4 linked regions of the Caenorhabditis elegans genome follow. The protein of the gene in region 2 interacts with the protein of the main gene of each other region in a pairwise test. Each region holds a gene or a part of one and is shown on either strand. Other genes may lie near its edges.

Region 1 (7,097 bases), on a different chromosome or scaffold from region 2:
CTGAGAAAAAATCGGCAAAATTCGATAATGTGGCTTTAAAATCTAAATTTTCTGAAATTTTATTTTAAAAAACTGCACTAAACCGTTAAAAATCGTTTATAATTTAATTTTTCAGTTAATTTTCCCGTTTTTAAGTGAAAAATAGCTTGAAAAAGGTTTAAATTCGACAGAAAACAGAGTTTCTCCAAAAAAAAAACACCGCGTAAATCGACACAAGTTTAAAGGCGCAGTATGGAGAGTGAAAGGGTCTCGCAACGATGGCCCGGGGTATTTGAATTTTTCATAAAATAAAAGTTTTTTTCGTGAAAAAATGGCAAATTTGATCAAAATTTGTTGTTTTTTCGTGAAAAACAGTCGAAGTTCAGAGAAACTTTCCATTTTCCAGTTGAAAATAGAAAAAATTGACCGTTTTTTAGCCTGAAAAACCAGAATTTATTGCAATTTCAGAGAAAATTCGAAAAAAAAAGGCCGAAAATTCACCAAAATACGTCGAAAAATCGGATTTTTTTGCAATTTGCTGGAAATCTTCAAGTAAATTTTCAAAACTTTGAAAAAAACTCCAAAATTATGACATTTTTTTCTTAAAAAGTACTCTCAGAGGCTCTATAGCACCTCATTTTCCAACAAAAATTCGAAAAAATCATAATTAAAACGGTTTATTAATCATCCGGCAGGTTGAAAGGGAAAAGTGAACAAAATGGAATGGACACGAATTGGGGTTCGGTGGGCGGAAAAGGCAACGAAAATTGTGCATGATATCATTATAAATATAATTTGGAAAAAAAAACGATTTTTTTCTATGGTAAAGCTGTAATGTATTAGAGGAAAACTGGTGGAGGGGCAAGCGAATCAATAAATTTCAAGGTTAAAAATTTAGAAAAAAAAAACGATTTTATTCGCTGACGGCGGTGAATCTGAGGTATGTATGAGGCACCGAGCCAATTTGGCCGTCGAGTTCCGCTTTGTACATTCCGTTGGACATTTTCTGAGTTACAAGCACTGTTTGCCCCTTTTTCACACGCAATTGGGTCGGATCGTAGGCGTTTGGGACACGATCGAACGTCACTTTGGCTTTTGCTGGCAGACGGGGCTGAAATATTGAATTTTTTTTTCGGTTTAGGAGATGTTTTTCATGATAAAAATCGTTAATAATTTCATTTTTCAGTTAATTTTGCAGATTTTAGGTGGAAAATAACTTGAAAACGGCCTGAAAATAGAGTTTCTCCGAAAAAAAACACCGCGTAAATCGACACAAGTTTAAAGGCGCAGTAGGGTTGGTGGAAGGGTCTCGCAGCGATGAGCCGGATTTTTAAATTTTTTGAGAAAAAAAAAAAGTTTTTTTAAGTAAAAAGGTCAAAATTGATCGAAATTATTCGTTTTTTTTTGACAAAAACAGCCGAAATTCACTGAAATTTGACATTTTCCAACTAGAATTAATAAAAAATCATTGAATATTCATTAGAAAGATGGAAATTGACTGAAATTTCGCATTTTCCAATAGAAAAATCTAAAAATTGGTGTTTTCCGTGAAAAAATGTCAAAGTTGCCTGAAATGCTTCGTTTATTCTTGGAATATGGTCGAAATATTAGGAAATTTTCGATTTTTCCACTAGAAATGTTAAAAATTGACTGAAATTTCCATTTTTTTTTCAGTGAAAATTTCAAAATATGACCGAATTTTCACTAAAAACGGTAAAAATTGAGCAAATTTTTAAAGAGAAATTTCAGATCCAACTTTCCCATTAAAATTCTGTAATTTACAAGGAAAATCGTCTCGAAATTCGAAATTTTCCCATCGAAAAATGTCAAAAATTGACTAAAAAACGCAATTTTTCAGCAAAAAATCTGAAATTTGTGGATTTTTCCGGCAATTTTCCACACCTGGAGCTCAATATTATCACTGCTCGTGCTGGCGCTCGAAAATCGTTCGGCGCCACCTCCGCTGCTTCCGATCGACGATTGACTGGCGCCTTTTGAGGTTCTGTCATTGTGAAATTCCATCTGAATTTGTACATAGTTTGCCGGCACTAATCCAGTGGTTCCCAACGCGTTTCTCGCCTCCCACCAATCCTGGTTCGTTTTTGCTGGAAAAAAAAAATTATTAAAAATCTAGTATTTTCGAGGAAAATTACCGAAAAAAACTTGGAAAATGCACAAAATCTTGAGAAAAACGGGAGAAAATCAAAAAACACGGTTTTTTTTTCAAATTTTATGGTTTTTACAGGTAAAATTTCGTATTTCCATTATAAAATTCGTTTATAATTTTATTTTTCAGATAATTTTGCGGTTTTAAGTGAAAAATTGCCTTAAAAACAGTTTAAATTCGTCCGAAAATAGAGTTTCTCCAAAAAAAAACACCGCGTAAATCGACACAAGTTTAAAGGCGCAGTGGGGTGGGTGGACAGGGTCTCACAACGATGAGTCCGGGTTTTTGAATTTTTTCATAAAATAAAAGTTTTTTTCGTGAAAAAATGGCAAAATTGATCGAATTTTGTTGTTTTTTCGTGAAAAACAGTCGAAATTCGCAGAAACTTTCCATTTTCCAGTTGAAAATAGTAAAAATGACTGAAATTTCTTGTTTTCATTAGGAAAATAGTCATAATGCACTGAATTTCGCATTTTTCTACTAAACCGGGTTAAAATTAGGCGAATTTTGTAGAAAATCGCATTTTTCCATTGAAAAACGTAAATTTTTAACATTTTTGCGGCTTTTTGGATTAAAAAAATGTGGAAATTTACCAAAAGTTTCTGGTTTTCTTGAAAAACAGTCAAAATTTACCATTTTCCAATAAAAACAGGAGAAAATGGGTGGAAATTTACTGAAAATTGCTCATTTTCTCACTAACATGGTAACAATCGGAAATTTAAATTTGCCCATCGAAAACGTCAAAAATTAACTAAAAATCTCGATTTTTCGGCGATTTTAATTGAGAAATGGCTTGAGAAAGTGGTAAAATTTGGCAAAACTTGGTTTTTAATAGTTTTTTTTTTGCATTTGGCTTCAATTTCCCCGAATTTTCAGATTTTTTAATCGAAAAAGTGCTCTTAAAGCTCACAAAGAATCTCGAGCCGCTAAATCAGTGGATTTTCGGGGATTTCACGAGAAAACTCATTTCTCGTAGTTTAAATGGCATTTTCCGAACCTTTGGTCTTTCTTCTCTAAGAAGTGCTCGAGATTCCAGAAATTGATTTTTTTTCCAGAAAAAAACGTTATAATTGTGAGGAAATCGACATTTTTTCTTGCATTTGGCACTATTTTCTCCGTATTTTTAGATTATTTAAAGGTGGACTACGCTCAGTGGGGAAATTGCTTTAAAACACGCCTATGGGGTCACAATGACAGAATATCATGATTAAAAAATTCAAAATTTTTTTTTATGATTTTAAATGATTTTTTGAAAATTGAAAAAATCTCAGTTTTCACCTAATTCCTATTTGAATTTCCGCCAATTGAACTCGTTCGTTGGAGCGCGCTTGCATTATTTTCATTAATTAATTCTATTTCTTCTCATTATTGGACTGATTTTCTTCATTTTTTGTGGTTTTTCATCGGAAAATCGAAGAAAACAACAAGAAAAATGCAAAATGATTTTTTAAAAGTAACTGAAAATGCGTAAAACTGTAAAATATACTAATTTCAGGCTTGTCGTTGTCAGAACTCAAGAAATCACAGTTTTAGAAAATTTCAGTTAATTTTTAACAAACAATTTGCATTTTTCTTGTTTATTTCTCTTCCATTTTCCGATGAAAAACTCCAAAAAATGAAGAAAATCAGTCCAATAATGAGAAGAAATAAAATTTTGAAAATTAATGAAAATAATGCAAGCGCGCTCCATTGAAAAAATCCAATTGGCGGAAATTCAAAAATAATTAGGTGAAAACTGAGATTTTTTTTCAATTTTCAAAAAATCATATAAAATCAGGGAAATTTTTTTGAATTTTTTAATCATGATATTCTGTCATTGTGGCCCCATAGGCGTGTTTTAAAGCAATTTCCCCACTGGGTCCGCCTTTAAAAAATCTAAAAATTCGGAGAAAATAGTGCCAAATGCAAGAAAAAATGTCGATTTCCTCACAATTATAACGTTTTTTCTGGAAAAAAAATCAATTTCTGGAATCTCGAGCACTTCTTAGAGAAGAAAGAACAAAGGTTCGGAAAATGCCATTTAAACTACTAGAAATGTCAATTTTCTCGTGAAATCCCCGAAAAATCCACTGATTTAGCGGCTCGAGATTCTTTGTGAGCTTTAAGAGCACTTTTTCGATTAAAAAATCTGAAAATTCGGGGAAATTGAAGCCAAATGCAAAAAAAAAACTATTAAAAACCAAGTTTTGCCAAATTTTACCACTTTCTCAAGCCATTTCTCAATTAAAATCGCCGAAAAATTGAGATTTTTAGTTAATTTTTGACGTTTTCGATGGGCAAATTTAAATTTCAATAAAGCAAGTTCCCCACAGGGTTTAGTCCACCTTTAATCAAAAAAGTGCTGCTTTAAAGCTCACAAAGAATCTCGAGCCGCTCTCCTTGCTCAAACGGAAGATCTGTCTCTCGTTCCCCTGTGAATTTGAATGTTCCGACGACAACCTCAATGATAGGCTTCTTGTAGGCGGCCAGCAGGCTTGCCTCAGTCAAAACTCGCATTTTAAAATGATTCAACAACGCCGGAATGTCTGGAAACGACTGATTCGCGATTTTCACGCCAGCTGCAGCAGTTCCATCTTCTTTCGGTTCTCCTCTTTCAATCAAATAATGACAAACGGCATTTCCCTCGTCGGCTTCACGTACTGTCAGTGAATATTCACCGGGGCGTGAGCTATCCCGCATTAGGAAGGTGCCGATCGATACTTGTGGCTCGCCGAGCAACTTGTGAGCCTCTTCACGGCTCATTCCTGGGAAGTAGAATGAACGCCACTCGAATGGATCGAACCCGTTTGTCGTCATTTCTGAAAATGCGGGAAATTGTTTAGAAACGTGGAATTTTTAGGCGCGCAAAATTGGTCAAAGTTGGGAAAATTTTCTGGAAAACGTAACCCAAATAGACGGAAAATCATCAAAAATCACGAGAAATTCCTAAAAATCCAGAAAAAAAAGACGAAAAATCAAGAAAAATTATATAAAAGGGGAAAGTTTTTTCGGCTGAAAAATGCTTAAAATCTTGTTTTTGAGAGCGAAAATTTATGAAAATCGGCCAAAAATCACCATCTTTGAGAAGAAAACGCAAAAATCTTCAAAAAAAAAATCAAGAATTTCGTGGGAAAAAATATTTTAAAATGAATAAAAATATGATTTTCAACCTAAACATTGCTGAAAATGTGAAAAAACGGGTGAAAATTCGATTTTTTAAAGGAAAACGAGTCAATATAGGCAGAAAATTGGATGAAAAAGTTGGAAATTGAATAATAATTAGCGTGATTTTCCAAGAAAATCAAGGAATTTCCATTTAAAAAATTCAGGAAATGAACAAAAATGGATGTTTTTTTGGCTGAAAAAATGCTGAAAATCAGTTAAAAATCGGCCAAAACTTGCGTGGAAAAATCAAAAAATCAGGAATTTCGTTGGAAAAGTACCTTAAAATGGCAAAAAATAAGATTTTAAAGAAAGAAATTGCTGAAAATCGTGGTTTTGGCACAGAAAATCTAGTAATTCTAGTGAAAATTTCTGAAAAATAAATGAACATTGGAGAAAATGGTACTTTTAGGAAGAAAAATCGATTGGACACAGTGAAAATTTTCAAATTTTGGTAGGAAATGGCGAGTTTTAGGGAAAAAGAGGGCAAAATAGTTGAGTTTTTCGGCTAAATTATGGGAAAAATGAAGAATTTTTTTGAAAAACTGTGTTAAAAAATTGGAAAACATGGCGAAATCGAGAATTTCGAGCAGAATAAGCAGGTTTTTAGGCTAAAGTTCGGTTTTTAGTAGAAGAAAATTGAAAAATACGCTTAAAACCTTTATTTTCGAATATATTTCATACTAAATTTACCGATTTCTTGTTTTTATACGCATTGAAACACCAATTATTCGTAAAAATGAGGAAATTGATGAGCAATTTTCCCAGGCAATGACTCATAAGCTTCTTGTCGACTGGAGCCAAAGTTTACACATTTTAAATACGTATTTTACGATGCGCAACCGCAAAAAATCAAGAAAATCTCCGAAAACTGGTGAGAAATTGCAAACAAACGACTTTTTTTGCACGCAAAAATAAATTGTCAGCTGTTGCGCTTGTCCGAGAGGAGTACACGATGAGGTGTGCGGGGGACTTGCAACACGCGACCCCGCCCACTTTTCCGCGCCGCATTGCAATTTGAATTCGGAATTTTGCGCGAAAAGTTGCGTTTTGCGGGAAGTTTTCCGGGTTTTTTACAGTTTTTTGCTATAATTTTCAAGTTTAAAGGTTAAAATATCAAAAATCACTCAAAATTTTCCGACTTTTTCAGCAGCTTTCCATCCTCCGAGATGAGTGTCTCGTTTATGGAGTTGGGCTCGGCCGACTCGGCAGAAGCGGCGGCGAACAAGGTGGCACACCACGTCGAGCAGATGATGGAGACATCGGATTTCTTCGATCGCCTCACACAACACGGCACGACGCCCGTCTCCGGTCTCGGCGAGAAGTTTTATGTGAAGGGAGCGCCGGAGTTTGTGAGCACACGGCGAATCCCAATACCCGGAGAGCTTCAAATGCAAATGAGCAGTGAGAGAGCATTGTTTCCGATGGGGGGGTTTTTCAGCGAAAAATTGGTGAATTTTCAGATATTCACAGCGAGTTTAGCATGGGATTCTTCACACAAATCAGCCGAGTTTGGGTCGTCATTGATAACAATCTCTATATGTGGAATTACGAGACAAAGTAAGCGGAAAAGCCGAAAAATACCGAAAAAAAATCGAATTTTCAGCGACGATTTGGCGTTTTTCGACTCATCAGACGCTGCAATTCTGAAGGTGTCGCTGGTGAACATCAAGCCAGGCGTTTTTGAGCCGGAAATTCAATATGGGCTCGTTGTCGGCACAATTTCCGATATATGTCTTTATCCGGTCTTTGATTTCGTGGAAAATGGCGCCAGTAGCATTTCTATCGACTCAAAACGATGCTTCAAGGT
Region 2 (8,230 bases):
CAATTAAATTAGCAGCTCCAAGATCATTTAAGTTTAAAAAACATTTTCAGTTCCTTTGCGTGGTAATTGTATGTCTAATCACTTCAGTCTTCGGTCCAGGACCATTCAAAGGAATTTTATTCGGACAAACGATTCTTCTGACTGTTGCCAGCGTGGCAATGCTTCTCACATTCATCTTCCTTATTGCATATTTCTTTACTCTTCATCTCTCTCATCTTGATTTCTTCTGTTGGCGTGAAGCTGATCTTTTGTTCAATGTGATATGTGCTGTTCTTTTTATTGTACTGTCAATTGTTGAAGCATATTATTCAACTGGAAGTTGGTCAAACAATTGCAATGATATTGGATCCGATGGAATTATTCACAACGGATGTCGGATTATCTACGAATGGGCTTTTGCATCTGTGAGTTTGAAGTTTGAATAGGTGGTACGCCCATATAATGGCTTACTTGCATTTAGAATTTTGTTTTTGATAATTTCATCTATAAGACAGTAATCACGCCATGGGTAGTTATAACTGGGTGTGCTCCTTTAAAGAGTACTGTATTTCAAACTTCATCGATTTTTATAGTTTTTTTTGATAAACGAATATGTCTTTAACGAAAAGCTATAAAAATCGATATAAATTTTGAAATTACAATAGCACACCTTTTGTATTTCACAAAAAATTCGTCGTGTCGAGACCAGATACCGTACTTTTGGCGCAAAAATCGCAAAATTCACGTCTGGGTAACAATTTATTCTTAACTCGAAAATCAAAAAAGTTACAAAGAGATAAACTATCCACCACTAGCTCCTTTTCTTCTGGATTTTTCCTCAACAAAAAACTCTCAAAAAACCTATGAACCTAATTTTTCAGTTCCTAACATTCATCCTGGGAATTTTCTACGCACTGACTGCCTTCCTCACTCATAAGAATCGTCATTCACTTCGTAACATATCCAGAGAAGAACTATATTGAAGATAATGGTTTCTTTGAAAGTTTGCATAATATAACTGATTCTCTCGTGTTTTTTTTTCTCCCATTCCTGCCGATTTCTAATAAAACAAATACTTCTTCACACTAATAAATATATACAATATTTATGATTCAAAAAAGATGAGAAAACAATGGAGCAGAGTGAGGTTGAAAGAACTCGTATTACAAATTGAATGAAACATATTAACAGCTATGTATTGAGCGGTCAGGTAATGGAAACAAGAACAAGAACCAAATCACATTTTACAGAAAATTGGAAAACATAGTATATTGCCAGCGCTAGAAATATGATTACAGGGTCCATTAGACAATAATATAAAAGTTCGAGGTAGAATAAGAAGATGAGAACACTCGACTAGAAACTGGGAACGACTAGAGATGACGGGGATACAAAGAACAAGGTTCGGTATATGAGCGGATCATTAGACTATTGTTACAAGCATTTGTTTAGGATTCGGTGTCACACTCTTCTCGTTGCTCATTTCACCATTATTTCGACCCTGAAAATGTTTATTTTAAAGAATATTTCTTCATGTTTGAATTGATACTGTACTTTTTAAAAAAAAGTAATTATTTTCTTACAGTGAAAGGCGGTTTCTGATAATTGTAGGGCGTTACAATTGCAGATTTAGCTATAGGTGATCCGTTTCCAATTGACGGTGATTGCTCAATGTTCTTCTGTTGCTTCAATGCATTCATATAAATTCGTTCTTGTTCTGCCTCAACAACTGGAGCATTCACATATATCGTATCATCTCTCGTCTGATTCTCAATCGAATCCTCTTCTGGATAGTGCTTATCTTTTAAAAGTGTCGGCTTCGGTGGCAATCGTGGCCGCCGGGAAGCGATGATTGGCTTGGGATTCTGCAAAAAAGCGAGGTTTGAAAATCTAATTTGAAACGTTTAGAATTCAGTTGGTCTTTGATTTTATCAAAGTTAATTTAAAAAAATTGGGAGCAGGGCTCGGCATTTTTTGATTTTTTTTTGCTAAAAAAAAATTAATAAAAAACTCACTTTCTATTTTTCCATATTTTACAAATATTCTTTAACAAAATGTGGGTTTATTTATGGTTTTTAGTGTTTTTTTTTTCAAAAGTTAAATATCTCTGATATATTTTTTAAAGTTTGTTTTTCTACTGTACTCATTTACGTTAATAAAACAAAAAAAAATTAACTTGGATCAGAAGCTGTCTAAACTTGGGCAAGAAGCTAGAGCCAAATGCCGAGTTTTTACCAGTTTTCATTTTTTGTTGGTTCAAGTTTGGATTTTTTTCTAAAATCGAACATTTTCGTTTTTTTTTTCCCGATATATTGAAAAACAATTTCGGGTTTTCGAAAAAATCTCAAATATTGGTCATATTACTATTTTTAGGCAAAAGTTATGTTTTTTTTAAATATTTTTTTTCATCAATATACAATTGAATTTTGTGATTAATTTTTTGAATTTTCTCTCGTTTTTTTCGATTTTCAATTTTCATGAGACATTGTTTAATTCTATAAAATCAGAGTTTTTTAATAGAATAAATACCTTATCAACAAGTGATCCATTCGTTTTTGGAACAGGCAGTCTTGACTTTCCATTCGTTGATACTCGGGTGGCTTGTCGAACTCCTGGGAGTGAAGATGCAGATCCTTTTGGTGTGGAAGTAGCTAAAGCTTTTGAATCTCGTGACGTTGTCGTAGTTTCATTTCTTTGCGATGAACCGCTTCCACTAGAAATCATTGAACAATCGATAGTTAGTTGTGCATCAACTCCATCATCAAACTGAGTCGCATCAGGATCCTCCTCATCTTCATAATCTTCGAAATGATCATAAGTATAGTCGTAATCATCATCATCGACACAATCCATTGGAAGAGATGCATCGATCTCATCGTCAAATCTCATAGTGTTTGCAGCAGCACCAGAAGTTGATGAATTTGGTTCTTCAGCAGTTAATCCAAAACTATCTTCACTACTAGCTTGGCTTTCCAATGACTCCATTCGATGTAATTGTTGTTGTGGAGACCAGTCTGAGCCTCTTGCCACATCAATGCCGTTATGATCGCTGGGCTCATGCGATGCGGTGAATGCGTCGCGGCGATCGGCTTCCTCGTTTTTTGAATGACTTCTTCTCTCTGGCTCGGGTTCAAGATATTGTTGTGTACCAGCAAGTCGTGGAGATATAATTCGACTTTTTGGCATCTCTGACATTATTGATTCCATTAAAAGACGATCTGCATCAGAAGCATCTTGACGACGATTAGGTTGAGTTCGATGAGAAGATGACTTTGGAATCGGTGAGGTATCTGGATGAGACCATGCAGGAGACGATGTTGTTTTCTGAGTTGGAGAGAAGAATCCATTAAGGCGAGGCGAGACTTTCATCTTCGGAGTAGACGACGAAGTAGGCATTTCAGATTGAATAGAACGAGTCAAAAGCTCGTCATCTGTCTTTTGTGCGGCACCTCCTATTATAGCATAATCACCTTCTTCCTCCTCAAGAGATGGACCTGGGAGAACATCATCAGGACTATCCAACTCTTCTGAAGTCTTTCGTGGAACTGTCCCGTTCGGTGTCTGTTCGTGTACCAATATTGGATTCAAAATAGCATAAGTTGGTGTAATAATGTTATCCATTGGCACAGTAGTTGCACCATCACTCCGAGTCATAGTGTTAGCTGATCCACTGCTATAATGTGTAGTGTTCTGCTGTTGAGACGTCAATTGATGATGTTCCGATTCAGTGGATTTAGGTAAATTGAACACCTGAGCACACATTGTTGGAGAAGCTGGAATATCATTGTATGATACAGGAGAAAGAGCACGAGAACTGTTGGCTGCAGTATCCAGAGAAGAATTCCAGTTTGTCATAACACTTCCAGGATTCATCGAGCCGAGACTTCTTTCACTGTTACTTCGTGTTCCCATTACGGTAGATGTGGGAATATCTAGATCGTCATCCGTAGGAGGAACTGGATCAGCTTCCTGAGCTTTTTGCATTTGTTGCTGTTGTTGAATTTGATGAAATTGTTGTTGTTGCTGCTGAAGGTACATGATTTGTTGATGATGTTCCATTTGCGCTTGATCCTCCGTCTGAAACTAAGAGAAAATTACAGAAAAAAACGCTGGAAAATCGTTACCATAATTTGTTGTTGTTGCTGCAATTGATAGATCATTTGTTGTTGCTGATGTTGATCCATTTGTTGATTGTAGGACTGTGCCATCACAAATCCATTTCGTTGAACGGCAAAATGTCTTGGCAGACTACTAGATCTTTGATCAACTTGTGGAGTCTGTATCAACTGTTGTTGAGCCTGTGGTTGTATATATTTTCCAGGTGATGCTCGAGTTGCTCTCAGTGATAGTAATCTTGGTGACGCAGTTCCATGATAAGCATGATGAGATGTTTGCATCTGAAGTTGTGGCTCCGAAAGCATTTGCATCCCTGTGGCTCCTCCTCCAACAGAATGTGACATATCACCATAACGATGACTACACGGTTGATTAAGAGTATTCAGCACAGACTTCACTGCTGTCCGAATATCATCACGATTCGAGTTTCGGAGTACGTTGAGTTGCTGTACTGCAGCCATATCCTGCCGAATCATTTGCTGCATGTGGGGATCTTTGACAATTAGGTTTGCAATAGCTCCTAGAGTATTTGTAACACAAGTGAACGAGGCACTCTTGAGCAAAGTGAGCATTCGAGTGATGAGCAAGCTTCTTAGCTGAAATTTTATTGGATTAATTGAAATAATGATATTTGTTCAGTTTGATCAATTTTATGTGCAAAAGGGAAGTGTTTGTGGGTTCTTTTGCCTAAAAACTTCAACTGACACAAAACCATCGAATTTCGTAATTTCTCAAAAAAAAAACCTACTTACTTCTCAAAAAATTTACAAAAAGGTGAAAAAAAGGGTAAAATTTTTCCAAAATTTTCTTTTAAAATCCCTGTTGAAGAAATCACTTTTTGTGGCATATTTTTCTGACTTTTATCTCTCGTTAATTTATTTAGGCACATTTTAAGTCGATATTCAGAAATGTCCAAAATTGGAAACAAGCGCAAGTTGACGAAAGATTTAGCAAGATTTGGATTTTTTTTTGCAAAATTTTGACTCGCCATGAAATTTTTTTCGATTTTTTTCTTTCTATTTATGAAAAAAAAAGATAACTTTGAAACCTCACTTGCATTTTTCAACAAAAACAAATCAAAAACTAACCTCTAAATGCGTGGAAGTATTCGCGAGATATTGTGATACATACTTCAGAATTCCAGTAGCTGAATCAACAAGTGACGTGAATCTTGCATCAGGAGATAGAAGGCTGGCTAATACTTTTAAACAATTCGGAGTATCACAAATAGTTCGTTTATTCTCTACTGAGTGACCAGCAAGATTCCACAAAGCAGATAATGTTGCTGTAACATCGAATCTATGTGTATGTGCATGTACTGCAGCAATTGAAAGTGCATGAACTGTTGGTTGAAGAGCTTCACTCATTCCTGAATCGGCGTTCCATGAGAGATTTCTGATTAGTCCAGCGTATACTTGAGTTATATTTGGAGATTCGATCACAATTCGAACAACGCATCGAATGAATCCATCATATGAGCATAGCCGGCGTTTAGAGTGAATTTGACCGTATGTTAAATTCGTAAGAGCATTGGCAATAAGTTTTCGAATATTTCGATGCTCTCCAGGATTGGTCTCATTGATTCCAAATGTGTGAACTTCAAGAATTAAAACTTCTGCAAGCGCTTCAACAAGTCCTAATACTGTAGCAACTTTTCGATATTCTTCTCCAAATGATTCCTTAACGATTGTGTGAAGAGCTGCATTTAGTCGATGATAATAAGAAGCTGGTGGTGTTGATGGTTTCCTTCGAAGATAATATACTTGTTCTCTAACACAGTTTGACGCAGGAAGAGCTTTTTTCAGCCGTCTTTTTCTAAAATTAAACGATTTTTTGAAAAATATTCTGAAAATTTCGGATTTACCTGTTAACATCAGATTCACTCGTTATCAATGCAAAAATCTTTTCGTGAAGTTCTCGAAGTTTATTATCATCTTCATCGGTCGGAACAATATCACGTTTGTGTTCGAAATGTAGAGATGAAAGAAGAACTGTTATAGCATCGTCAACCTCGATCGCCTGTAATTAAACTTTTAAATATTGTATTTTCAGAAAAAATAGTTAAAAAGCTTAAAAAATACTTTTATATTCTAATTTTTTACGCTCCGATTTTTTTTACTTAGAAGACCATTGTACAGGTACAAAAATTGCTCAAATTCCTCAAAAAGTCAAAACTTGGCCTTTTACCAACATCGAAAATCTGTTTTTTCCAACAATCCTTACCGTATCTTCGCGAAATCTTGCATAATGCTCTTCTTCATCATCTACATCACTAACATCATGTCGCACATTCGATGTTCTTTTTGATGATCCTGCTCGAGGTTGTGAGTAGATTCCACTTCCACCGGTATTTGATCCTGTTCTGTGTATCGTTGTTTCATTTTCATCACTACTACTAGAGCTCATCTGAAATTTAATTTTATTATTTTGAATGATCTTTGATATATTTGAAGAGAATATATAAGAAATAGAAAAGGTACATCAATGTATTCCAATAAATAATAATTGTTAAAAATCACTCTTTTAACAAATTAATATTTGAAAACAAAAAATTGTTAAGCTTTCAAAACAAACTCAAAACCTAAATTTTTCTTGTTATATTGTTGGTTTTCTGAATGATTTCAATTTTTTGGACCGAAAATATTTCTTGTTCCAGCTTGAATAGCACTTTTAATTAAACTCCTTCGTGGTTTTATTCCCATTTTGATTCGAAAGAACAGGTGTTTACAATGCGAGAGGTGACCGTTTTTGCTGCTATTCTTCAATTTTCAAGGCCGTAAAAACAACATGGAAAACTATGCTGTCCATGGTTCAAAAGTACTCGAAGGCCAGCCACGAACCCCTCGGTTGAAAAAAAAAGAAGAAACAGAGATGAAGTCAATCGGTTTGACCTTCAGAAAACCGAAGAAACGCAATGTAAATATGCAGTGTCGAGTGTATAACTATACAGGGAGGGCGCCACACAGTACACTACGTGTTCCGCAGTTCCAAAACCGGCGCACGAAAGGTAAAAATGGTTTGCAACCAACAAGATGAATCGGAAGGAGGCGTTTGAACGGGGGTAAAACTAAGAAGAAAAAAGACAAGAGAATAGTTCATTTTGTGTATTTGCGTTGAATGGCAACTACTACATCTACTTCGAGTCCTTCAACATCTTCTACATCTAGCTCGTCGAACTGTCGTATTGAAGAAGGCGAGTTAGAGCAGAAACTATTTAATGTCTATAATGAAGAGGTGAAGATGTGCGATAGCAATGGACAGAGTACTCAACATATAGGTGAGATTTTATATATATATATATATATGATACAATTTAGAAGGTGGGAATGGAAAAACTGGGAGACGGATGTAATGGTTGATTTAGGCTGAATAGGTACGAATAGAATGTTTCTCTGTTTATTTTAACAATTTGGGTGATGTACGTTCGCTAAATGTTTTCCAAAAATTCAGTCGACCCGACTAGGTTCTGAACATTCAGACTTTTTCTATTCATTATTATACATTCACTTAAAATTATTTTTGAAAAATCATGAAATTTGGGTTCGGTCACAATAAAAATTCCGGAGATCTTGGCGAGACCCACCGATAAAATAATCGTCTACCTTTAAAATGGAGTTAGATCTTGCCACGAAATTATGATATTCAAATTCAAATTTCGCGCCGAAAAAATAGCAGAAAAGGATACAGAGATATTAGGCAGATAGAGAAAGTGTGTGTAATCCCACCTACTGTTTTTCCTCTCAACAAGCCAATTTGGTTGTTGCTGTTGAGAAAGGGGCAGATTGCGCGACGATTGCGTAGTCCCTTTCTCTAGTCAAGGGTATTTGTGTTGGGTAGCAAACACGCCACCACTTTTTTGTGGTCCCATCAGGAATCTTATGTCCCAACACAATAGGGTTACCGGAATGAATAGAACTGTAACTAACGAGGTGTGAAAATTTGAGTGATGAGATACGACAGTTTTCATTCATAAAATGACTTTCCAATGATTTTGGAGTATACTTTTTGAACTGAACAGGCCTTTTATATTATGTGAACATATACCCTGCACAATATGGGTAATTATAATGTTCATATATGGCTTCCAAATTAGACCGTAGTATATCGAAGCACAGATAGAATACCTAAAGTTGAT
Region 3 (7,658 bases), on a different chromosome or scaffold from region 2:
CCGATTGTCGGAAATTATTGAAACTGACAGTTTTCAACATTGACTATTGCATGACCATTTTTTAGTTTTTCTTGTGCAAAACCGAAAAATCGAAAAACCGAATAATTGGAAAACAGAAAAAAGTAAGAAAATTTTTCATTTTTCGCTTTTTCCACAAAAAAAACCGGAGGTCTGATGCGTATATGTATTCATTATCTATTAATATGAATGCAATACTATTTTTCAAAGCGAATGCATTACAACTAGGTTGTGCAATACTAATTTTCATACGCCTTTTTTGTTTAGGATTCCATGTTTTCATTTACAAGAACAACTGTTTCTGAAAGACATTTTGCAAAATTGTGGTTAATTGGAACAAAAATGCAATAATCCTAGCCTTGTTGTAATTTTGCAAAAAAACATTTCAAAATAAACAGTCTAAATTTTAGAAGGTGTTCGAGGTGCAGTACTACTAAGAAGTGAAAGTCTAATAGGAAGATCGTACGTTTGAAGTAATTTGTAAATCAAGACGAATAGATTTAGACGCGTTTTCACTTTACAAGCTCATACCTCAAAATTTCAGATATTTTCCACAAAAATGAATGCTAAACTCTGTAATAGTGCTTTTTGTAAAGTTTTAAAAAGATGATCAAACCAAAAAGGTTTTATCGAGAAGAAAACGAAGACGGACAGAATTTTGAAAATGAATGAGACGAGAGCATTGTGAAAAAATGAAAAGAAAACTTAACATAAGAAGATTCGTTGTATAAATGATGCAATTAACTATCACTATGGAGATGGGAAAAACGGACAAACGGACACACAGATAGACACGTTTTGTACTACGATTCTTCTTTTTTTTACTAAATAAAGAAATCAGAGGGAAAGGGAAAAAGGAATGGGGGAAAATTTATCGGGGAGGATTCTTGAAACTCATTATTCTTAAAAAGAGCAATAGAATTAAGTAATAAGAAGTGTGACTTGAATGAATGAAGAGTATATTTTTGAAAACAAAACAATGAACAGTTTGAGAGGGGGTAGAAAATAATCAAGAGAGCATTGGAAATGGGGAATAAGAACTAGGCTGTTGTTCATTTTGCTGTTGCTGTCCTTGCCAATATGTCTCGTCTTGTTGGAATGGTTGATAATGTTGAGTGTACATAAAATCTAAATCTGAGGGACCTGATTGGTGCATTCGCTTCGCTGGTGGGCTTCTCTGCAAAAATTAACATAATGTTAGGAGCCAAAAACAAAACAGGCTTACGTCAATGTGCACAGGCCGAGCAGCTGGGGCTTGAGGTACCGCAGGTGTAAAGTCAGGCAAGTCGTAAAGAGCTTGAAGCTCTGGTGGTAACCCCTCGTCCATTTGCATCATATCATAAGTGTCAACGAATGGTGCCAAGCACGATAAATCAGGCTCTTCCCATTGAAGATCGTCTGAAAGTTAAACATTTTGTTGAAAGTTATCTGATTTCTTTCACGAATGAGATTGATTTGAACATTTAAAAAAAACTAACCACAAAGTATTGGTTCGCCAGAGGTTAATGTTGGCGACGAATCGATCCTTTCGGCAATGGCGATAGAATCGGCAAAAGGCATAGTGGAGAACACATCATTGCTTCCGATGACTGGGTTGATGCCTCTAGTGGACGACACATTGAGAGTATCTGATGGTGAAAGGGCGGAAAAGCGTCGTGACGAATCGGACGGATCGCAGCTACGTCCCATAGATCGAGCGTCTCCGTACACGACTTGTCCAGATTTGATACTGCAACTGATACAAGGATATTATAAACATGTACATGCTCAACGTGCTAATTGTGAAAAATGTATAAAAAACTAACCTCGGGGGACTGTTAAGTCCACATTGTGAGATGCCCTCTGCAAGTGGCGAGTAGTTGGCACTGTGTGGCAATGTGGCCGATGCTGACGTGGAAGACGATCCAGTTGTTCGACTTCCCTGACTTTGTGCTCTTCGTCCGTATGATGTCTTCGGTCGGGAGGTACGAGATGACGAATCCATGAAGTCCGGCGAGGCCAGAGCGGAACCGAAATTCGACGGTTCGGTTGTCCTGAAGCGGTCCGCTGACCGGTAGCGTGCCGGCGGCGGAGAGCTTGGCTGGTCGCGAAAAAGCCATTGCAAAACGTCATCGTAGCTGTTCTTACGTGCTCCTGAAATACACACGTTAAGAAATCACTTGCTAAATGTATGGAACTTTGAGTAGGCGTAGGGTAAAAAATAATACGACATGCATGGACAAGTTTGACAAGTTTGAAAATAAGAAAAAGAGAAACTCACGGAGGTATGAGGACAACGGAGGGGAAAACTGCGATCTGTTGTTTTTTTAACTTAGTAATCATAATCCCATTTCCCAAAGTACCTCCTCTCCGCCGTCCTCATCCTCTCCGTCAACTTCCATTTTCTCATTATAAATCGGAGCCAGATCCACATCGAATTCCGGTGCTAAACCGGAATCTTCTATGGATTCTGTATCAGAATCCATATCGCAGTCTTCTATATCATTGCCGGCAGAAATTTGCCCATAAACACGTTGCTCATACTCATCCGTCACCGAATAAATTCCTATATACGTACCTCGTAAATTATTCAATTTGGATAAAAAAAACTTAGGTGAATCAAACTGTATAATTACAAACTTTTAATACGTTCTTAAACATGTACTTACCCATATCAGCCTGCTTAACAGGTTCTTCTCCACCAACGACTGGCTCAATAACCGTATCAAATGGATCTTCTGGCTCGATCAATGGAGTAAAATCGACGCATTCCACAATTTCAGGTTGTCTTCCAATATAGTCTCTTGTATCATCCACTTCCTTCTTGATATCTACTTGCATTCCAGCTGGCATTGAATCAGTGCAAACTACCAATGACTCTTCAGCTCCTTGGATTCCGAGAACGTAATGAACACAAATGACATATTGTCCTTTTTGTCCTTTCGTCGTATGTGTGATTGTAGTAGCTTCTGTTTGAATCCAGGCAAGTGTGTCATTTGCAGCAATCAACCGGTAATACGGGGTACGGATGTGTCCTTTGGCAAAAAGTTCCTTCATGGATTTTGATACTATCATCATATCGGCTGGATGTACCAATTCGTAGAAACTGGTGCCCATGAGAGTCTTCAGCTCACTTTTCAAGATGTAATTGAACTTATCCGAAACGAAAGTGATGCGCATGTCGCAAGTGTGACGAGTTGTGAATGCACCCATTGGGCTTTCCGTGTACTGTAAATTAATCCATCTATATTTTTATTAAACTTATAGCATCTATAAATCTGATTTGAAAAAGTTTTCGAATATACACGCCCTTTAGGACTCACTTTTCTATCTAGGTATTCAGAGTCCCTGCTCATTTTACTTTTGCAAACGGAGCAGCAATACAAGATGTAACATCTTCTCCGTTTTCTCTTCTGCTTCAAAAAAGGAGAAGATGACGCCAAGTTGCATGTGCTTGTGCTTCTCTACTTCTCTCCAATTTTCTAATCCTGTTTTCTATGCGCGAGGTGCCAACGGCTGAGTGTGCTTTGCTCAAAGCACTATTCTCTATTTTAAAGATCAAAAGAACAAACTTTTCGAGCGAGCAGAAGAATAAGAAGAAAATGAAATTGTGTAACGTCTACTCAACATTTTGTCTCACAATTCCATCAGTTTATCAAGAAGCGGAAAGGAGGAGCAGAAATTCCCAAGATCAAAAGTTCAAACTTTAGAATCTTACTATGAAACATTCAAAGCAGATATTCACCTTTGTCATTGCAGATGCATTTGCATTAGTTGTACCCTGTCCAGCAGGAATTGTGATACCTTGCATGAATGACACGTGTCCACCAGTTGAAACTTTTGAATGAACCAGGAAAGACACTGATTTGTACAAAGCACTCTTCAAATTCAGACATCTTCCACGTGGGCTGATGACTGTCTTCATTCGAAGCACCATGTTGATGCCGGTGGTGTCTGTGTCCTCGCCACGTGGCTTGTGCAGCATTTTTGATTGCTTGTCAAACTCGTCATAGTCGGATGGATGAAGAAAGTCTCGAAGGGCTCGACCTGTTAAATCTGTCTGAAAATATATCGATGTTAAAGAAGCAAGTTTTCTATTGCTCACCTGTGTTAATCCTAAATACATTGCAACACTTTCAGTGACGTAAAGAATTGAAGAATCACTGTCAACAATCATAACAAAGCCGTCCAAGCATTCGGCGATGGTGTCTTCAGTCCATACCTCATTTGTGATTTCATTGTCCAAATTGTTTTCCAATACTGAAAGAAAAATATTAATTTGAGAAAAATTGGCAGTGATTTTTGGTCGATTTTCTCAGCATAAAACACGATTTTCAAGTGATTTTTGATGTTGAATCAACTATTTCTTTATTCGATGTCACTTACCATTACCGGCTGTCTTGCGCAGTCGACAAATTGTGGCGGCAACACGAAGAAGTGCAATACGGTCTAGATGAGTTACGGTACCTTCTTCAACAATAGGCACACACATTTTCAGATCATCAAATATATCCGATTCTTTAGACCGACGATCACGAGCCGCGTGTCTCGATGTTTCACGACGGCGTTCCATGTTTCTAAAAAGTTTGATTTTGAATTTCTTGTCACCCCAAAATTGGTGAATTTCAAAAAATTATATACCTATATAAGTACACTTCTCATGAGGTTTTTCGATTTAATTTAGTTTTAAGTATAACTGGGAAAATTTATTTTTTCAAAGGTGGAGTAGGAGGAGCCAGTGGAGAAAGTGTTGAAAACTAATCCAATGGTACTAAAATGACCGAATATCAAATTAAAAATTGTCAAAAATTTTTTGAAATTGTTTATTTACCGTCCGTTAGATGATAATCACTCAATTTTTGCCACTCATAATTTTGGAAGCATAGTAGGGATCGGAACATGCGGCATTCCTCAAATACTTATGTTTGTAAAAATTTTGGCCATTTGCCAAAACTTTGACCGGAAATTATGAAAAATCTAAAAAATTTTTAAGTGTTTTATTATGATTTTTGGTTGTTTCGAGCCATTGTAAGTGTATTTTTTAGGCAAAACTGCCACTGGCGCTACTCCACCTTCAATCACAATTATTTCACAATTTATTTTCATAATTTACTTTATCTAACATCTCCGATTAAAAATGAGTTGTGTCTAAAAAGAGCGAGATATATTTTATATAGATGATTCACATTTGATATTCGATTCGGAAATGCGCATTTTCAATACATCTACCTCTGCCAATGCTCCCTCTCTCTCATTTGCGAGCAGAGCATGGAGCAAACCCAAAGGACTACGGTACTTCTAGCGTTTTCAGGCATCCAATCATGGAATGTTTAAGAATGAATTTCGATTCTAACAGAATTCTAACTCTACCTTTTCCGATTGTCTTCCATCTTGATAGTGAATAGGTGCAGCTTCAGTGAAGCTGAGGTTGGTGTGATTGGGGCAACTTCCCCGTAATGACGGGCAACTTTCAGGTGGGCTGAAAATGTATGACAATTTTAAATTGAATAGAATCGGGTAGAGGGAATTAGAAAAATTGTATCAAATGTTCTTAAAATTATCATTGAGAACATAAGGGGTTGTTAGATTTTCGAATGTTAACACTTTTGAATAAAAAATCAAGTTTAGTTATGATTTATAGCACTAGGGTAGAGTGTAGTGAGACAAATTGAAACATCATAAATACCAAGGGTGCACAAAACGATCGATTGGATATGTTAGTGACAGTTGTTTGGACGGGGTCCCAGAGGACGTCAAGATTTGTAACAATTTCATGGACAATTGACTATTTGTTAGGCAAGTATCATAAGAATGTTGCAGAAAACAAATCATAGAGATCAAATGCTCAATTTAAAACCCAAATCTAAAAACAAGAACTTAGGTAGACTGGAAATTTCGCTGAATTCAATTCAAGAAAAATTGTCAATTTCTTTATATTGAGTGAATACAAACTGATTACAAGAATCATGTGATAAGCCAGTGAAGGAGAAAAGGGCACACAAAAAGATTAAAAGCAAAATTTTCCCGATTCAAAAATATAAATCTGGATATTGATGTTACGTCAATGGTATGAATGGGGCAAGATTGAGGGGGTGACTAACATCAAACTATGAATGAACTACGATCAATCTTTGAAAAAATTGTAGTTGAAGTAAGTCAAAGAACAGGGGAATCACTAGAATGTAGTGTTTTCACCGAGCGTAAACAATAATGTTTTTGAAGATAACTATACTCAAGTTCAGAAAGGGTAGTTTGTGTAGTGATTTTAGTTTATCCTTATTATCAAGTGAATTTCAAATAAAATAGTTAAGATCGGGATTCAATCAATCTTTGGACTTAAAGGCGGTGTAGTCGAATTTTTAATTACTCTATTACACTCAAAATTGTCTGAAAACACCGAATTTTCTAATTAAATTTTTGAAAAGGACACAAAAAAACTATGGCGGCCCAAAATATGACAAAAAAATAAGTTTTCAGCCGCTGAGAGTTGCTCAAATTTTAAAATTTAACTGATTTTAGGTCCTTTTTGAGCCACCATAATTTTTTTGAGAAGTTTTCAAAAAGTTTCATTAAGAAATTTGGTGTTTTCAGACAGTTTTGAGTCTAATAAAGCTAGTCCTTACATCTCATATCACACTTTTTAGCTTAATCGAGAAATTGAAAATATCGATACATCAAGAGAGTGCACAATTAATATAAATCCTCAAAATATAATAAAGAATTGTCGAAAGTTATTGGAACATTAAATAAAATCAATAGTCATATGAAACGAGGGAAACAGATAGTCATCATCAACAAGCGGGAGGCGACGACAAAATGTAAGAAGAAAGATGTTGATAAGACAAGAAATTGAACGACAGTGGGCAAAACGACTTCTCAGAGACTGTCGATTGACAGAATGTTAGACAAAAAATTGGGGGAAAGCTAGAGTACAGAGAAGTAGAGTGACTGATAATTGATTAAATTTAGCGAAAATTGAGTTTAGTCCATATCTTTATAATGGAAAGGATCAACTTTTTCCGATATGTGGTTCAGGAGCTATGTTTTGACATTGGAGTTAAATAAAAATTTAAAATACAGATCAATGAAATCAAACCTATTAGCGTTACCTTTGAACTATAAGAATTAATAGATTTTCTGAAAATCTGAAATCTCTCATTAGAGAAAAACTGAGCAGCTAGTGGGCGGTGCCTACAAACCAAAGATGGGCATCCAAACATTTCTTCGTTGATCAAAAAATGAATTAGAGAAGTAGAGTTTTCTCTGAAAATTGAGAGAGGTGAAGAAAAACCAAAAAAAAGACCTCTCATCTAACACACTCTCTTGACCCAGTAAGTACATAAACCACGGAGACACGAGACAAGCAGGCAGACATATTGAATAGTGTGCGATTTGGAGAGAGTCCAAAGAGATGAGAGAGTGAGAGAACTAAAGAGAGGACAACGTCAGTAGTGCTGTCGCGACAGAATTCCGACGCGCGCGTACATCGCGATGATGGTCAAGAGTACAGAGAGACACTAGAGGGTAGTATAAACGAGGGAGACGCAGAGATCGACATAGAGAGGGAACACGTGGTTTAGAGAAGGGCGGTGCGGTAAATGAAATTGGGATGATGGGTAAGAAAACGTTGAAATAGGGAGGTACACTGGAAAATAATGGAA
Region 4 (8,609 bases), 6.1 Mb from region 2:
GAAGAATAGTCTGGAAATTTCTGGGGTTTAGGGAGGAAAATAGTACATTTTTATGGTTTTATGCAATTTTGGGAACATTTATACCATATTAATTGAGAAATAACGTTTTTGAGAATTTTGAAAAAAAAAATTTTTGAAAATTTTTGGAAATTTGTTTTTCCAAAAAAAAATATTTTTGAGCAAAAATTTTTTTTTTCAAAATTTTCCAAAAACTTCCAAATCAACCTAAAATCAATATTTTCCCAGTTTAAACCCAAAAAAAAACTCACTGATGTGCTCCATTTGGCAGAGCAAAGTGCCTCTTGAACTCCGCCAACGTCATTGGTCCATCGTTAGGGACATGTGTTACCACAGGGATTTTATCGGTTCCTGGAAAAAAATTTGAGTTAAAATGTTAGAAAATATAAAATTTAGGGTAAAATCTACCCTAGAAACATAGAAAATCTGAAAAAAAAGTTCAAAAAAATTTTCAAAAAAAAATTTGTAAAATTTTTTTTTTCACTTTTTTTTGTATAAAAAAATGAAACCTTACCTAAATAGCTAATAGTTATCAAATTCGACAAATTTTTCCCAATTTTCGAGTGCTTCTTAGGCGTTGGAGCCTTTCTGTGCTGCCTCCGATCCTTATAATCCAGTGACGAAGTGGCGGAGAACGCCGACGGTGCCATAGACCCAATTCCCGAAGAATCATAGAATTGACTCGATTTGCTGCTCCCCGGAGCAAAATTCACCCTGGTAGTGGGCGCCGGCGCGAAGGAGTCCCTACTGTAGGAGGAGCTGGCTGAGGAGTACGATGGAGCGCACATTGATTGGCTCATCATTCGATTTGTGTCGATTTGATGGTGACGATGAGATTTTAGAGAAGCCGAGGTGTCCCGGGGGTAATCTTTTCGTCTCGGGACCCGAATTGTGTTGTGGAGCTGAGCGGGAGCACGATTGGTTGGGGAGAGGGTGGCTGGAAAATATTATAAATTGGAAATTTGAATTCAGCTCATGAAGAGCTTCAAAATACGTATAAACATGCTTAGGTTCCGTCTAGTTTGAAAAAAGTTGGGTCCCGCCACGAAAATTTGGGGCTACAGTAATAACTTTCGTGGTGAGACCCAAAAATTTCCAAATTTCACCAAACCTAGGCATGATTATACTTATTTTGAAGCTCTGAACGAGCTGAGTTTGAAAATTGACTGGAAATATAAAAATACTGGATTTTTTTTTGAAATTTCAGAAATTTGGGTCTTACCACGAAAGATATTTAAAATTTAAAACTTTTACAGTTTTAGTAATTTTTTTTTTCAGCTCGTCAAGAGCTTTAAAACGAGTATAAACATGCCTAGGTTTCGTCAAATTAGAAGATTTTTGGGTCTCGGCACGAAAATTTGGGGCTACAGTAATACATTTCGTGACGAGACCCAACAATTTTCAAATTTCACCGAACCTAGCCATGATTATACCTATTTTGAAGCTCTAGGTGAGCTGAGCTTGCATTTTGTAGTTTTAAAGCAAAAATGTCATTTTGTAGTTGTTGGTTCTCACCACGAAAAGCTACAACACCCATTTTCGTGGCGGAACCCAAAATCAAGAAAACCTAGGCATGTTGGTACTTATTTTGAAGCTCTCAATGAGGCAGACGTGATTTTAATAATTTCAATAATTAAATTTATTAATTTTGGAGAAAAAAGTTTTTGCTCAAAAAAAATTTCAAAAATTTTTTTATTTTTAATTTTCATAGATTCGAACTAAAAAAAAACGTTCCCTGACAAATATTTTTGTCATTAAGATGTTTACTAACAGCTATTCCAATTCTAACACCTATTAGTAATATTAATCCCTTCATGAGAATAACCCGACATATGGTACCGGAGCATGGGAACTCACTATTTTTCGATCCTTCTCCAGATTTGTTGGGCTCTCCTGCTGGGCCTTTAGGTGATCGATTTGTTGATCCTTTTTGGGAATCATCTGTCATTTTCATTTTCAGATAATCATCCAACTCCTCGTCCTCATCGATTTTCCCCAGATCGTCGTTGGGCTCCGTGCCGTTTACCATGTCGATTGTCTGAAAAATTAATTTGAAAATTGAAGTCAGCTTGATAAGAGCTTTAAAATAAGTATAAACATGCCCTATTTCAGTTGAATTCAAAAAATAATGGGTCTCGCCACGAAAATCCAGGGTTACTGTAGTCGTGGTGGGACCCAAAAAATCCAAATTTTGCAGTGGTGACTAGATAACTAAAAAAACATGCTCAGCTTGTAAAGAGCTTCAAAATAAGTATAATCATGCTCAAGTTTAGTTGAATTTGAAAAATAGTGGGTCTCGCCACGAAAATCTAGGGTTACTGTACGCTTAAACCAGGAATATTTAAATAAAACGGATCCTAGACATGTTTATACTTATTTTGAAGCTATGAGCAAAGTTAGCTCCAATTTATAAGTTTCCAAGCAAAATTGCAAAATTGAAGAAAGTTGGGTCCTGCCGCGAAGTACGATTTCGTGGTGGGACCCTAAAATTCTTTGAATTTCACTTTAAAAATTACAAATTCAAACTCAGCTTGTTGAGAGCTTCAAAATAAGTATAATCATGCCTAGGTTCCGTCAAGTTTTAAAAAATGTGGGTCCCACCACGAAAGGTATTACTGTAACCCCACATTTTCGTGGTGGGACCCAAAATTTTTCAAACTTGGCGAAACCTAGTCATGATTATACATATTTTGAAGCTCTCGGCGTGCTGATTTCAAATTTTACAAATTCAAAGCCTAAAACTCGAAACTGAAAAACCTACCGTATACCGACACTCTTCGATATCGTCAATCCTCTTCTCCATCTCATCATTTAGCTTAACCTTATCAATATGCCTAAGCAGTTTTCTGGTGATTTCCATTGCAAAATTTCTTCTTCCTGATTCAGAAGAATGATCCCATTGCTGACCATCGACGCTGGCTTTTTCGACACGTGGCAGTGTCATGGTACCGTGATTCTCGCGGGCTTGTTCGTCTCGGATATGGCGGAGTCTGGAAATTAGACACTTTTAGATAAAAATTTGATATAAGCTCACTGAGAGCTTCAAAATAAGTATAATCATGCCATGGCCTGAAAATTTTCAAAATTTTAGGGTCTTACCGCGAAAACTTTTGGTTTTTTTGTAGTAATAGCTCTCAACACTAAAATTTAAGGTTTTCAAAAAAATACAATTTTCAAAAAAATAAGCTTAATTTGGGTCTCGTCGCGATTTTTTTCAGAAATAATTTATTGAACCCTAAAAATTTGAAATTAAAGTTCAGCTTGTAACGAGCTTTCTAACAAGTATAATAATGCCTAGGTTCAGTTAAGTTTGAAAAAATTTGGGTCTCGCCACGAAAACCTACCAACAGTAACTCGGGGTTTTCGTGGCGGGACCCAATTTTAACGGAACCTGGGCATGTTTATGCTTGTTTTGAAACTCTTGGTAAGTTGAGCTCAGCTATCACAATTTAAAAGTAAAAAATCTGAAAACTGCCAAGTAGGGTCTCACGACGAAAAGGTTAGTGTAGATTTTCGTGCCGGGACCCAATTTTATCGGAACCTAGGCATAATTATACTTATTTAAAAGCTCTCAACAAGCTTAATTCAAATACATTAACCAAAATCACCTACCTATTACTATGCATCCTATGGGCTTCGGGCGTGTCCCCAGAAAACGTCGAGCTGACAGCCGAGTCGTTGTGTGAGGTAGTGGCGTTGCATACGTATGGTTGACGTGTCGGTGGGTACATTTTCTCAAGTTTTCTAAAAAAAATTCAAATTTAAATAGGTAGGGTAGGTAGGCGACTTACGTTTCTCCAAGTTTGCTGTGCCTGTCGTGTTTCGATTTTAGGAGGGCCTCAGCTGTGAGCTGGGTGGCGATTTGTGCGGCACTTTTACGGGAGGTAGTGCCTGACGACCTTCTCATGGTGTTTTGGTGTGATGAATGGTGGGCGGAGCCTCCCGGGAGCTGGTCGGCGGTGGTAGATGACATCTGGAATTGGGGTTTTTAGTTTTTGGGATTGGAAATTTTTTTCAGAATTGCGATAAGATACGTAAAATGCTAAAATTCAAATTCAGCTTAAAAATAGCTTTCGAATAAGTATAATCATGTCTGGGTTCTATTAGAATTGGGTCTCGCCACGAAAACCTACAGTAACCCTTTCGTGGTGGGACCCAACTTCTCGGTTTTCAAATTTTTCACACTGTGACTATAAAAATTCAATTTAGCTTAGAAAGAGCTTTCAAATAAGTATAATCATGCCTAGGTTTGGTTGAATTTGACAAAAGTTGGGTCCCGCCACGAAAATTTGGGGCTACAGTAATACATTTCGTGGCGAGACCCAACTTTTCTCAAACTTAACGGAACCTAAGCATGATTATACTTATTTTGAAGCTTTCAGTCAATTGAGTTTAATTTTGTAAATAAAAATTGCAAAGAATCAAAATTCAAAAAGTTAGGCACCGGAAAAATTTCGTCGTAGGACCCAATTGTTGGAAAACCCTAAAATTTTCGCCAAAATTCTGAAAATCTGAACTGAGACCGCCGATATTACATTAAGAATGCATAGGTTTCGCAAATTCTGTAAATTTTCCAAACAACCTCGGTCTCGCCAAGAAAATCCTGGGTTACTGTAGGTTTTCGTGGTGAGACCCAACTTCTATCAAATTTGACGGAACTTAGGCATGATTATACTTATTTTAAAGCTCTCAGTGAGCTAAATTCAAATTTTCACAATTAAAAAAAAAAACAATTTACCTTATTAAAAGCCTCAATAAACTCTTCGGAGCCCACAAACTCCTCGTGTTGGCGTCTTAAAAATTCTTGAACAAAATTCGAACAATGACTGAATACCCGATCCTCTAATTCGGTGCCATGACGTAGTTTTTCACCAATCCAAAAATTAATTTTTGATTTTAAAAAATTTTAAGAAAAGCTTACCGGAGCCCTAAAATGCTTGGGAATTGCTTCGCAGTTTCCGGTCCGAGAGGACAAAAATTTCGAGTATATTGACTTGGAAAGTTGGGATTTCTAAAAAAAATAGATAAATATTGCCCGATTTGCCAAAAAAGTTGCAAAAAAATCAATACCTCCGGTTTTCCCTCCAACGCCATTCGTTCGTATGCTCGGATTGCGAAGAACAAGTCGAGGTACTGAAAATTTCTTATTTTTTTAGAGAATTCGGAAATTTAAAGTCAATATTTGAATTTAGCTTGCTGAGAGCTTTGAAATAAGTATAATCATGCATGAGTTCCGTCAAGTTTGAAAAAATTGGGTCTCGCCACGAAAATGTGGGGCCACAGTAGTAGATTTCGTGGTGAGACCCAACTTTTTTTTGACGGAACCTAGACTATTATACTTATTTCAAAGCTCTCAGGATGCTGTGTATGAATTTCAATAAATTTAATTTTTATGGGGTCCCACAACGACAAACAACTACAGAACCCCATGGGTTGCGTGGTGGGACCCAACGTTTTGCGAAACGTGGTCATGATTATGCTTTTCCAAAAGCGCATGAAAAGATTGATTAAATTATGAGAAATTTATCTCGAAAATTAAAAAAAGTTGAAATTTTCGCAAAAAATTTTCGAAAAAACGTGAAATCGCAGACTTTCCTTGTAACTGGTCAAAATTCTCACAAAATTATGATTTCGCCTGCAAAACTATAAAATTCGAAGTCAGCTCGCTGTCAGCTTTTAGATAAGTATAATGATGTCCAGGTTCCGCAAAGGTTGAAAAATTAGGGTCTCGCCACGAAAATTTGGGACTACAGTAATAACCTTCGCGGTGAGACCCAGATTCTTTCAAGTTTGAAGTAACCTAGGCATAATTATACTCATCTTGAAGCTCTTGACAAGCTACATCCGAAAACAAGTAAAAATTTCAAATATTGGAACTTTGGGTCCCGCAGCAAAAGAAAATCTAAAAATTTTGCGCCAAAACCTAAAAATTTTCAAAATCATCGTAAAAATGTCATGATTATACTTATTTTGAAGCTCTCGGCAAGCTAAATCCAAATTTCGCAGAAAAATCCCAAAAAAAAAGTTACCTGAGGCGAGGAGTACTCAATAAGCCATTCCTGAAACGCGTCGAGTGCCGATCGATCGGATAGAACGGCCTCCAGGCTTCGCGCCCAACCGAGATGGGTCTCCATGCACCTGAAAAGGAGGTGAATTTTATGATTATGTTGAAATAAGAGAATATTCAAAAAAAAAAGTAGAGAAAAACTTGAAAAATCGAGGGAAATTTTTTTTTGAAAAAATTTTAAAAAAATAATTTTTTTGCCAAAATTTTTTTTTTCAATTTTTTGTTCAAAACTTTTCTAATGACGCTTTTACTGAAAATTAAACAAATTTTATTTAAACTTAGCAGTTTGACCCCCTCAAAACCTATAAAATAGGCCAAAACTATACACAAAAAAAAAAAAAAAAAACTGTGATAAGATATAGGATATACAATATATTATAAGCGTCACTATTCCCTCTCTAATTGCAAAAATGGAACAACTATGGGTGTCTTATTGTTCCTATCAGTGGCTGATAATCAAGGAATGAGGCCCCTCGCTTACTCAATGAATGGGCGAGAGCGAGAGAGTGGCGGGGGTGAGAGACGCAGAGATAGTGACGGAGAGTAATGGGGTGTATTGGGAAGAGTAGTAGTACACACACACAGATAAGACACATGTCTCCAGAAAGATGACAACGATTGATGAGTGAACATTGTTTCGGGTGCCCCCGGAAGAGTTTACTGGGGACGCTCGACCGGCTACCGGGAGGGGCCCCTAACTTTAGGGGCGTTGATCTTGCTGGTAAGTTGGTCTAGCAGAAAAATTTAAATTGAATATATGTAGAAAATTGTACGTAGATTATTTTGTTAGTTGACAACTTTTTGCTAGCTCTGCTCTCTGCGGAGTTATGGAGCTTTTAGGTTGGAACTGGGGGCCAAGGGAGGCTTAGAGGTCAAGTTCAAATAGCTGTAACTCTGCGGAGACTGATGCCATCAAAAAGTTGTTAACTAGCATATTGTAGGACGTTTTATAGCAATTATTTTGTCAGTTCAAATGTTTTGCTAGCACCATTGTGTGCAGAGTTATAGGGGTTTAAGTTAAAACTGGGGGCCAAGGGAGGCGTAGAGGTCAAGTTCAAAATCCTGTAATTCTGCAGAAAATGACGGTATCAAAAAGTTTCCAATAAATAAAATGTAGGAAAGTTTATGATAATTATTTTGATAGTTAACAATTTTTTGCTAGCTTTTTTATTTGTAGAGTTATAGAGGTTTGAAGTTAAAAGGAGCCTAGCGCCTCTTGAGTTCAAACCGTTATAACTCTGTGGAGCCTGAAGCAATCGAAAAGTTGGCTATTAATAAAATGTAGGAAATTTTACGGTAATTATTTTGTTAGTAGACAATTTTTTGCTATCTCATAGTTTAAGCTTAAAAAATGTTTAAAAAATGTGACGCTGTAAAAACTTGATTTTTTTGAAATTATCGCCATTAAAAAAAAAGTCTAAAATTTGGCCAGTAAACCTCAAACAACACAATTTTTTTAAGATTTCAGCAAAATTTCTTAGTTTAAAATTTCTTAGCCCAACAAGGATTTTAAGAAAACCCAGAAAAATGTTGTAAAACTAGTTTTTTTTTTCTTGGAATATTTTGAGTTTTCAAACATTTCAAAAAATAAGATTTTACCGTAATTTTTTTTAGATTTCAAGCCGAAATTTGGCCATGAAATGGTTTGACCTAAACCGAGTCTAAAAATTTTCAAATTTTTACGCCTAAAAAAGACCTAAAATAGTTTGGCCTAAACTGAGCCTAAAATAAATTTAAAAACTGGATTTTTCATATAATTTTCCAGTTTTCAAAGCAAATATTATAGTCCCAAAGATGGTCTAAAAAGGAAAATGGGTAAAACAGAAGGATTTAGGAAAAAGATGGGGGTAGGAAAATCAAGGGGGGTAAAGAGAAAAGGAGAAGGAAAAGAGAATTGGGGGGTGAAGTGCCTCCTCTCTCTTCTTCTCGGGCGGTCGGTGTGAGAATGGAGGCGCCCCCTTCTTCAAAACCAGCGACTCTTTGATGTTCGCCGACACGTGCCTGCGTCTTGTCGATTTATTCATATTTCTCTCCAGCCCGCCGTCCACTCCGACTTGCTGCGCCTCCTCTCCCCGCCGCCAAAAATTGTGAAAAACCTTGAAGAAGCGGCACTTTTTGATGTTTTTTATTGGCGGAGATCTTCACAAATCTTTTTTTTTTCGGTCTAGAAATGAAGAAAATGATAGGGGAATTATGGGAAAGTATGCAAAAAACTCGGTTTTTTTTAGTTGAAAATTAGAATTCCCGCCAATCTGCAAGTACGCCCCATTGAGAAAGTATGCAAAAACCTTTTTTTTTTCGTTTAAATTTTAAGGGAACTAAATTAACCGCATTTCAAAACACCCGAAAAACTCAATTTTAAACTTAAAAATATAAAAAAAAATTCCCGCCGATCGCAAGCTGCAAGTGCGCTCTAATGAGAAAAATAGGATAATTTTGATTTTGAGGGGGTATTTGAGCACATTTTGTTATTTTTGAAAATGAAAGTTTTCTTTAAACCTAATTAACTAAAATTTAAACTCAA

The links.
Region 1: the proteins of apr-1 (region 2) and ced-2 interact in a two-hybrid assay, tested with the Caenorhabditis elegans proteins (one study listed by BioGRID).
Region 3: the proteins of apr-1 (region 2) and hif-1 interact in a two-hybrid assay, tested with the Caenorhabditis elegans proteins (one study listed by BioGRID).
Region 4: the proteins of apr-1 (region 2) and pry-1 interact in a two-hybrid assay, tested with the Caenorhabditis elegans proteins (2 studies listed by BioGRID).

Annotation. Positions count from the first base shown.
Region 1 is NC_003282.8:1,595,165-1,602,261, reverse strand, and holds ced-2 (Cell death abnormality protein 2), read right to left. Parts: upstream 4,945-7,097; 5' UTR 4,943-4,944; coding exon 4,504-4,942; intron 2,085-4,503; coding exon 1,882-2,084; intron 1,091-1,881; coding exon 893-1,090; 3' UTR 641-892; downstream 1-640. Other genes in the region: npp-8 (Nucleoporin_N domain-containing protein), read left to right, coding at 6,457-6,691, 6,751-6,847, 6,894-7,095. UniProt on the Caenorhabditis elegans protein: Required for cell migration and engulfment of cell corpses but not for programmed cell death/apoptosis. Has a role in the migration of the 2 gonadal distal tip cells (DTCs).
Region 2 is NC_003279.8:8,048,314-8,056,543, reverse strand, and holds apr-1 (Adenomatous polyposis coli protein-related protein 1), read right to left. Parts: upstream 6,502-8,230; coding exon 6,319-6,501; intron 6,115-6,318; coding exon 5,960-6,114; intron 5,911-5,959; coding exon 5,184-5,910; intron 4,692-5,183; coding exon 4,104-4,691; intron 4,063-4,103; coding exon 2,509-4,062; intron 1,845-2,508; coding exon 1,563-1,844; intron 1,481-1,562; coding exon 1,403-1,480; 3' UTR 1,076-1,402; downstream 1-1,075. Other genes in the region: K04G2.9 (MARVEL domain-containing protein), read left to right, coding at 51-404, 861-962; K04G2.7 (HTH CENPB-type domain-containing protein), read left to right, coding at 7,213-7,372. UniProt on the Caenorhabditis elegans protein: Has a role in endoderm cell specification and pharyngeal development. Required for the migration of epithelial cells, organization of the anterior seam cells and ceh-13 expression during embryo morphogenesis.
Region 3 is NC_003283.11:20,778,231-20,785,888, reverse strand, and holds hif-1 (Hypoxia-inducible factor 1), read right to left. Parts: upstream 5,483-7,658; 5' UTR 5,388-5,482; coding exon 5,368-5,387; intron 4,575-5,367; coding exon 4,384-4,574; intron 4,258-4,383; coding exon 4,103-4,257; intron 4,058-4,102; coding exon 3,743-4,057; intron 3,418-3,742; exon of another isoform or gene 3,354-3,417; coding exon of another isoform or gene 3,321-3,353; intron 3,226-3,320; coding exon 2,667-3,225; intron 2,564-2,666; coding exon of another isoform or gene 2,361-2,563; intron 2,152-2,360; coding exon 1,824-2,151; intron 1,754-1,823; coding exon 1,497-1,753; intron 1,417-1,496; coding exon 1,244-1,416; intron 1,196-1,243; coding exon 1,028-1,195; 3' UTR 629-1,027; downstream 1-628.
Region 4 is NC_003279.8:14,173,205-14,181,813, forward strand, and holds the start of pry-1 (Axin-like protein pry-1), read right to left. Parts: upstream 6,157-8,609; 5' UTR 6,153-6,156; coding exon 6,048-6,152; intron 5,152-6,047; coding exon 5,089-5,151; intron 5,030-5,088; coding exon 4,940-5,029; intron 4,895-4,939; coding exon 4,757-4,894; intron 4,307-4,756; exon of another isoform or gene 4,234-4,306; intron 3,992-4,233; coding exon 3,810-3,991; intron 3,763-3,809; coding exon 3,631-3,762; intron 3,009-3,630; coding exon 2,780-3,008; intron 2,057-2,779; coding exon 1,876-2,056; intron 956-1,875; coding exon 533-955; intron 370-532; coding exon 270-369; intron 11-269; coding exon 1-10. UniProt on the Caenorhabditis elegans protein: Works in parallel with axl-1 in negatively regulating bar-1 signaling in vulval precursor cells and Q neuroblasts. Inhibits Wnt signaling, which affects tissue specific expression of Hox genes, egl-5, lin-39 and mab-5.